Canis lupus familiaris: one gene and its partner. The protein of the gene in region 1 interacts with the protein of each later gene in a pairwise test. Links are inferred from orthologs where the notes say so. Each region holds a gene or a part of one and is shown on either strand. Other genes may lie near its edges. The genes, in order: MTFR1L and ARMC1.

Region 1 (4,370 bases):
TAAACAGCCAGTTCTTGTCAGTCTCACTCTACTGGGCTACAGGGAAAAGAGCCAAAAAATTTTATCCTGCTTAGCCGTCTACTGCTCTTATAGCCTTAGGCAAGTCCCATAACTTTTCTGAATGTTGGTTTTTCCATATGTAAAAAGAGGACAAGAGCTCCCTTCCTAGATTACCTTAAGGATCATTCAGTGAACTAGGGGATTTTAAAGTGCTTAATGAACTCCTGATTGGATTCTTCACAGCTGCTCTCGTCTGGTGAGCAGATGCAATCAATGAACTCATTCTCTTGTTCATCAAATGTAACAATACCTACTCTGTGCCAGGCCCTGAGCTGGGTACTGCAGGGGCTATGGAAGGATGCTCTCAAGGAACTCACAATATGGAAGAGAAATAGGACTTGAATACAGAATTCTAGTAAAGACTGAATATCATTGCTTAAGAAAGGTACATCTAAGCAGGTGGCCAGGTGGGTACAGGCCCCTGACCCCAAGGCCTCACGGCGAGTTTAAAGGGGTAGGAAAGGATGGAAAACAGCAACAATCGTACAGGTCCCAGACGGGAAGTGAGAGGGGTGTAAAGAGGAAGAGAGAAAGGTAAACTGAGGTTCAAGTCATACGGGCTGGGAATGCTCAGGGGAGAAGTCACTGGGGAGCCAAGGGCAGGTTCTGAACGGGACGGACTGAAAACTCCTGCAGGATTTCTCTCTCACCTGAGGGAGAGGAGTTATCACTCACTTCCCTATACAAAGGAAAAGAAGCTGGAGAGAGGAAGTGTCTAAGGTCACTAGTGGTCATGCTAGTAGAAAGCACTTTAAGTCTGGTTTAAATTGTGCTGCCGTCTGCGTGGGCTCAACTCCCTGCAGTTCAAGGCTTTTATCGAAGTCCCTCTGTGTGCCAGGCTCTGGGCTGAATGTCGGTGCCGCCACAAGCTCCACAGAACTTCTGTTTCTCACTCTGGACACTACAGCCACTTCCTCTCCTCCAGACTTCCCCCCAAAGACTCATTTAGGCCTAACAACAGCCAGAGCCGTCTTTCTAGGACACACTGCTCCTGTGTTTAACACCCCCACGGCTCGCTGCAGCCCACAGAGTACCATCTAGACCCGGAATGGCCTGCAGGGCTCTCCACAATCAGCCCCACCTCACTAGACCAAACTCCAAGGCCCCCCGCACCGCTGGACAGCGCACCTCCCGGCTCCCCGTGCCCCTCAGCCCTTCAGCCGAGCGGACCGCCTCTCCGCCCCCATCCACACTATCCTCTCTGCCTCAAACACCAGCACCTTCTTCACAAGCTCATCACCTCTGCGTTCCCACAGTCAGGTCCTTACCGCCCCTCTCCCCCAGCGCCCCACGTTTCCTTCTGAGCCCTCACAATGGTAATCAGAGCCCCGTATCTGCTGCCTGTCGCAGGGCAAAGGCTTCCCAAGGCGCAGCACCGGAGCACGAACCGAGAACTCCGGTTGGGCCTTCACCCCCCTCCCCGCCCCAAGGGTCCTGGGCTAGACTTCCCCCAGTCCGCTGGCAATGCAGGCTGGTTCTCATCAGCCCTGCGCGCCCACGACGCCCCTTTCCAGACCGCCGTCATGGCCTGTGCACACACGCTCTCCCGCAGGAGACTCGGGGCTCCTCCAGAGCAGGGCCTGCGCTCATCCCTCCGGGCCAGGCGCCCCGTCGAGGCCGCGGCGCTCGGTGGAACTTGGCGAGCGACAGCCTGCGTGGGCCGCACTGGGGGAGCCGCTGCGGGGACCTTGCCCGGGACACGCCTCCCCTCCCCCGGAACGGCCCGACCCCACGGGGCCAAGGTCGGCCAAGTCCTCGCCGCCGGCACCGGCGGCCCTTGGACCCGCAGGCCCGGGCGCTGGTCCCAGAAGGAGCGAGGCGGCCGCAGTGGCCCGGCGGGCCGCGGAGTGCAGCGGCAACGAGAAGCCTCCGCTGTCGCGCGGCCACCGAGGCCGGGAACTCCGGCGAGCAGCTACCCCCGGGCACCGAGTCCTCCCACCCTCAGCCGGGCGAGGCGGACAACACCGGCTCCCGCGAGAACTGGCGCGGGAAGAGGAGCCGCGAGCTCCGCACAGCGCCTTGCGCTAGGCCGCGTCGACAGTCGGGCGGGCAGACCGCACTCCCGCCTCCGAAGCGGCACTCGGACCTAGTCTCACCTCAGACTGGGCTCCGGGACTCACCTCACGGCCCCTCCTACCGCAGCGGGCAGCCCAGCCTCAACCGCCCTCACTTCCGCTGACCCGCCCCCGGAAGCGATCCTTGGCGGCTGCGCACAGGGCAGTGGCCCCGCGCGCCCTCGGGAGGCGGCCTCGGTCGGGGCGGGGCGGCCTCACGGGCGGACCCGAGGAGGGGCCACGCCCACCGCGGCCACGCCCACCCGCGGCCACGCCCGCGCTGGCCCGGCCTCTGGGAAAAGTCGACGGCGCCTGGAGATCCCGCGGCCGTCTGGGCCGCATCGCCGCGGGTCTGCGCCTCGTTGCCGCTGTCCCTGGGTAGTCCTGATCCCACCTCTAGCGGCCGACGTTTGGCCACGTCGCCCGCGCCCCAAATGGTGTGGCGCCTGCTGTCCACTGGAGAACGGCCGCCCTGGCGTTGCAGGCCCCCGGACCGACCCCTGGCCTTGCCTCATCTCGCCCCGCTCCGCTCCTCACACTTCGTGCTTCCCAGCCAAGGCCCTCCACAGCCTCCTGGCCATCTTTCTCCTCGGACTCCTACCGTAGTAGCTGTCTTCTGCGTATCCCACACGCACAGGGCAGATTCGGTGAGATAGGCTGGCAGGCAAGAGCCCAGGGGCATTGGGAAAGGGACCCGCTCTCCTTCCGGACGCCCCTCACCCGCTCCCTCTTCTTGCTTAAACCCTCACGGCCGGGTCCTCGTCCTGGTCTCCATGGCATCCAGGCCTGGGTCACGTGCCCTCCTCTGACCTCAGCAAACAGCTGTGCCTGCTCCCAGGCTGCGGTTCTTCTGTCTCAGAGCCTGCAAGTCCTAGCGGCCAGGGACAGGCTGGCTTCACGGGGGACAGTTGTGGGCAGTCACACAGGGCCTCTTGCTTGCATGCTCTACTGTTGCCCTCTTGAAACTATATTATTTATATTCTTATTCTACATATATGTATATATATGTATAAATATAAAACAAGGGGCACTACAGTTTTCATTTTGCACTGGATGGATCCTGCAAGTTACATAGCTGTCCTGGCCAGAGACCTCAGAGTTGTCCACCCAGATCCTATCCCTGCTTAGCATCTTTCCTTTCCCCATTCTTCGTCATCTTTTTTTTTTTTTTAATTTTAAAGGCTACTTAAAAAAATAATCTTTTTTTTTTTTTTAAATCTTTACACCCAACATGGGGCTTGAACTCACAACCCTGCGATCAAGCCACATGCTCCTCCACCTGTGCCAGCTAGGCATCCCTTCTTCACTCCTCCTTATACAGGTTTTCCCTGAAGTGTATTCCCTCCAAAAAAAAAAAAAAAAAAAATCCCTAATGCCTGTCTTAGGCTCTGCCTCTAAGACATTGGGTAATGAACTTCAGAATCTTTCTCACCATTCTAAAAACAGTAGTAAGTTCTACTACTAGGTCTATCACAAAGTTCTTTAAGAATGCCACTTAAGGGACACCTGGGTGGCTCAGCAGGTGATCCTGGGATCTGAGGTCAAGTCCCACACCAGGCTCCCTGCATGGAGCCTGCTTCTCCCTCTGCCTGTGTCTCTCATGAATAAATAAATAAAATCCTAAAAAAAAAAAAAAAAAAAGGAAAAAGAATGTCACTCAAGCCCTCTAGTGACAGAAAAGATAGTCCCCAAGACTTTCCAGCCATGCTCCCTTGCCCATGTGCCGAGCCAATTCCACAGAGGAGTCAGACCAAGGATAGAACTGACCCATAACCCGCTCAAAGGAAAGGCACTGAGAACCATCCTAGTCTCTCCAATTTTATTATAGGACGTGTGGGGAGGGGAGGGGAGTACAGATGGGTAGCAGGAGGGGCCTGGAGGCCCTCCCCCACCATGAGCTTCAGGGCACAGTGGGGGACAGGAAAAGGTAGGAGATGAAGATGAGAAAGCCAAAGCAATCAGTGCCTTACAAGGGACAAGGACTGCTCACTGTGGGGCGGGCCCTCCTGGACCTGCACGAGGGGAAGAGCCTGCTGGGCATCGAAGCAGAGTGTCTGCTGCCTCCGTGTGGCTCATGGGATTGGCTGTGGCCACCCATGCCTGGAAGCGCAGAGACAGACCTACGTGCCCTCCCTCCAGTAAGGGGAGTGGAAGCACAGCCTCCCAGAAGGACATGAACTTGGCTGAGCTTGCTGGCTGGAGCCTCATTTGGTCTGGAGATCAGAGGGGAGTGAGGCATTTTGGTCTGAAAGGCTT
Region 2 (3,811 bases), on another chromosome or scaffold:
CTTCGACATTATTAGCTATGATCCTGTTTGTTTTTCTCTTTTCCTCTCCTTTCCTATCTTTCCCTCCCATCTTCTACTAAAACAAGTGCTAGGTCTATCCACTAATAAGCAGATAAGGAGAATGTGGTATTTCTCTGCAATGGAATATTATTTGGACACAAAAATAAATGCAGTATTGATACATGTGACAATATAGATGAACCTTGAAAACGTTATGCTGAGAGAAAGAATTCACAAAACCCACATATAACATGATTCTATTTATGTAAAAAAATATATAGGCATTTTTGCCCAAATAGGCAAATACAGAGATAGAAAGTGGTTACTTAGGGAAGGAGGTAGGCGGTTGGGGAGCAATAGGTAGAGAAGTTTCTGAGGTGATGAAAATGTTCTAAAATTGACTGGGTTGATGGCTGTGCAACTCTGTGAATACATTAAAAAACAATGAATGATACACTTTGAGTGACTTGTACAGCATGTGATTCAGACCTTAATGAAGGTACTACAAAATAAAAATGGAACAATAAATATCTTTTTAATGTGTCTATCCATACTGAAATGATACAGTCCAAGATTTCTTATGAAGAAAGTTGCAGAACATTCCATGCAGTATGCTACCATTTGTGTCAAAGGACTATACACACACATACGTGTTTGCACATATAGAAATATACTTACTACTATTTACTCTATAGTCTACTTTTTTTCTCTATAGTCACTTTTAATTTTTACCATGTCATCTAACACTTTTTCAAAATCTTCTGAATTGCAAAATTATAACACTGAGACTGAAATTACTAAAGGCAACTTACGAGCAAAGCTGAATGGACAACAGGGGGGTTGGGGTGGTCCATAAATAAAATAAGGCCAGGCAGACATCCCTGATCCTGGACAATGGCTCTTCTATTTAATGGATCTGCTGCTAGATCCCGTAGCTGGTTAACTACCGAGAGAGCATCAGGTTCTTCATTCATGGTGGAGGACGAAGAATTCATCTTCTATGCCATACACATGAACCAAATCTTCTTAAATTCTGTAGAAACGGTTTGCAAAATTAGCTCTAGGCTGCTGAGGTACATTATGGCATTTGTTAAATAATCAGGATTACAACACCTTTAGAAAGAACAGATGAATCTAAATCACACAAAAACGTGAGACTTGGCAATTCCACAGTTTAAGTAAAATGAACATAAGAAGCTAAGTAAAAAAAAAAAAATCAAGTTATTTATGTGCACAATATTTAAAGAACATATGTCATCTTCAATATTCCAATAAATTCCATTTTAGCAATACATATTTTAACACTAAAGTCATAATAAACAAGATCTTTACAGTTAAAGCTCATAACCTTCACTATACTTCTCAAATTCTACCACTGCCAGTGCTTTTTTCTAGAACACTTCTGGAGCCTACAAGAAGTGTCTCAGGGAAAGGTGTCGTCTAGCTGAAAGCTTTTTTTCGTATTCATCTATGAACAAAACCCAGCATACTGGGCTTACAAAAGATAAAATCCCCTAGGAAAAAGGAGGGAGTCAAAAAAGGCTATGAACAAGAAAGCCAAGAAGGGTATCTCATATTTCACCCTGTGTCTCAGGCCCCAGGAGTTAGAGATCACAGTGAATCTGAACTGAATCTGTAATACACCTTTTCATCTCTGAGTGTGCCATATTCAGAAGAATGGAACACAATTTGAGGTAATTCATTTATTTTTTTAAGACATTTATTTATTTATGTATTCATGAGACAGACAGAGAGAGGCAGAGACACAGGCAGAGGGAGAAGCAGGCTCCATGCAGGAAGCTCGACGTGGGACTCGATCCTTAGTCTCCAGAATCATGCCCTGGACTGAAGGCGGCGCTAAACCACTGAGCCACCTGGGCTGCCCGAGGTAATTCATTTAACAGATAAGGAAACAGTCACAAAGAAGTTAAATTATTTGCCCCATGTGACAAAAGCTAGTTAGTATAAAAGTGTGCTAAAGGGATGCCTGGGTAGCTCAGCAGTTGAGTGTCTGCCTCTGACTCAGGACAGGATCCCAGGGTCTGGGACTGAGTCCCACATTGGGCTCCTTGTGGGGAGCCTACTTCTCCTTCTGCCTATGTGTCTGCCTCTCTCTCTCTGTCTCTGTGTCTCTCATGAATAAATAAATAAAACCTTAAAAAAAAAAGTATGCTAAAATCTTATCTCCTAATCAACAGTCTTTCCACTTTCCATTGTCTTTTTGTTTACTTTTCTCCATACAGTACTTTAAAAAGCAAGAGTTGGAAACTCAACCACCTGAGCCACCCAGGTGCCCATCCATACAGTCCTTTTAAATTTGCATACCTTTCTGCCATAAAAGTAAACCTTGATATGCTAGAAAATGTAACATGTTAAACATACAAAAACCTAAGAAACAAAATATCAAGGAATAATCTTCATTTGTGCAGAAAGTTAAAAATAATAATTTCCATTAACCAAGTTACATAGTATATTCCTATTAGTAAAAATACTTTCCATGAATCAATTTAGTGCCAAAAATACTTTCCATGAATCAAAATAAGTTTAGTGTCAATTTCAAAAACAATACCAATTAGGGGAGGAAGGGGCAGAAATTCTTCTGTTACTCAAAAGACTATTACAGGTTATTTTTTGGGAAGAAGGTAATAATGCATAACTGACCTCACCAGATTGAAATATACAAAGTTATAAATAGTAAAGCGGGGGTGGGGGTGGTAGGGGGGGTGTTGGTTGAGGTGCAGTAGGAAGGTATTTCTCCCAGGAAAGTTATTTATGCATTCAATATAAGAAAGCAGGCTCAGTGAGTCAGACCAAGGCTCCACTACTTGGTAAATGTGATTTCAAGCAATTCCTTTACTCTTTTGTCTCAGTTTCTTCATCTGTAACATAGGGCTAATCATAGCAGCTACCAAAGGTGTATGATCTAGATATAATGACAATATACAATGTGCCTAGCACATTGTAAATGCTCAATACATAACAGTGTTAAGTTACATGGAGCAAAATATTAATAAAAAAAATAGTAAGATTACTCAATAAATGGTACTGGAATGCCTTCTAAGCAATTTAAAATCACTGCTAAGCAAGTTTAATTTATACCACATGGGTCATCCCTGGGTGGCTCAGTGGTTTGGCGCCTGCCTTTGGCCCAGGGCGTGATCCTGGAGTCCTGGGATCAAGTCCCACATTGGGCTCCCTTCATGGAGCCTGCTTCTCCCTCTGCCTGTGTCTCTGCCTCTCTCCCTCTCTGTGTGTGTATCTCTTGTGAATAAATACATAAAAATCTTTTAAAAAAATAATTTATACCATATGGCAAAAGAAAACCATACTCAAGATAAAATATGATAAATTTTAAGTATACAAGCAAGTGCAAAATAAAGGACTCAGAGGAAACAGGGCTTTAGCAAGACAGAATCTGACAGTTATTTTCAAAATGAAAATATGATAGTTACTGTGGCAATTTTAAAAATATTTTAAAAAAGCAATAGACTGAACACACAGAGATAAGATTAACAGGTTTGGGGGCATGCTGCCTCTTATGTGCCTCTATTATCAGCATACTCAATATCCCTGTTTACAAACCACCTTAACCAAGAGCTTTACGTGCTGTTACCAGCACAAATCTTAACCAAAGTGGAACCTGAAGAACCAATTACTGGCTAAAAGGTCCAAGAACCAAGTTACATTAAGAACCAAATACGCTGGAAGAGGTCCTTTTGCATTCACTTCTGACCTTGGAACTGGAGAGCTCCATTCTTATCGGAGTCCTTTGATAACTATTCAGTGGGAATAACGCTGAAAAAGTTATGGC

What was found.
Region 2: the proteins of MTFR1L (region 1) and ARMC1 interact in binary tests that used the Homo sapiens proteins (3 or more experiments, as listed by UniProt). The two-hybrid records come from large-scale screens. The link is inferred for Canis lupus familiaris from reciprocal best matches to the Homo sapiens genes MTFR1L and ARMC1.

The regions. Positions count from the first base shown.
Region 1 is NC_049223.1:73,526,855-73,531,224, forward strand, and holds the start of MTFR1L (mitochondrial fission regulator 1-like), read right to left. Parts: upstream 2,869-4,370; 5' UTR 2,716-2,868; intron 2,316-2,715; exon of another isoform or gene 2,157-2,315; intron 1-2,156. UniProt on the Homo sapiens protein: Mitochondrial protein required for adaptation of miochondrial dynamics to metabolic changes. Regulates mitochondrial morphology at steady state and mediates AMPK-dependent stress-induced mitochondrial fragmentation via the control of OPA1 levels.
Region 2 is NC_049250.1:15,786,769-15,790,579, forward strand, and holds part of ARMC1 (armadillo repeat-containing protein 1), read right to left. Parts: intron 1,034-3,811; 5' UTR 996-1,033; coding exon 813-995; intron 1-812.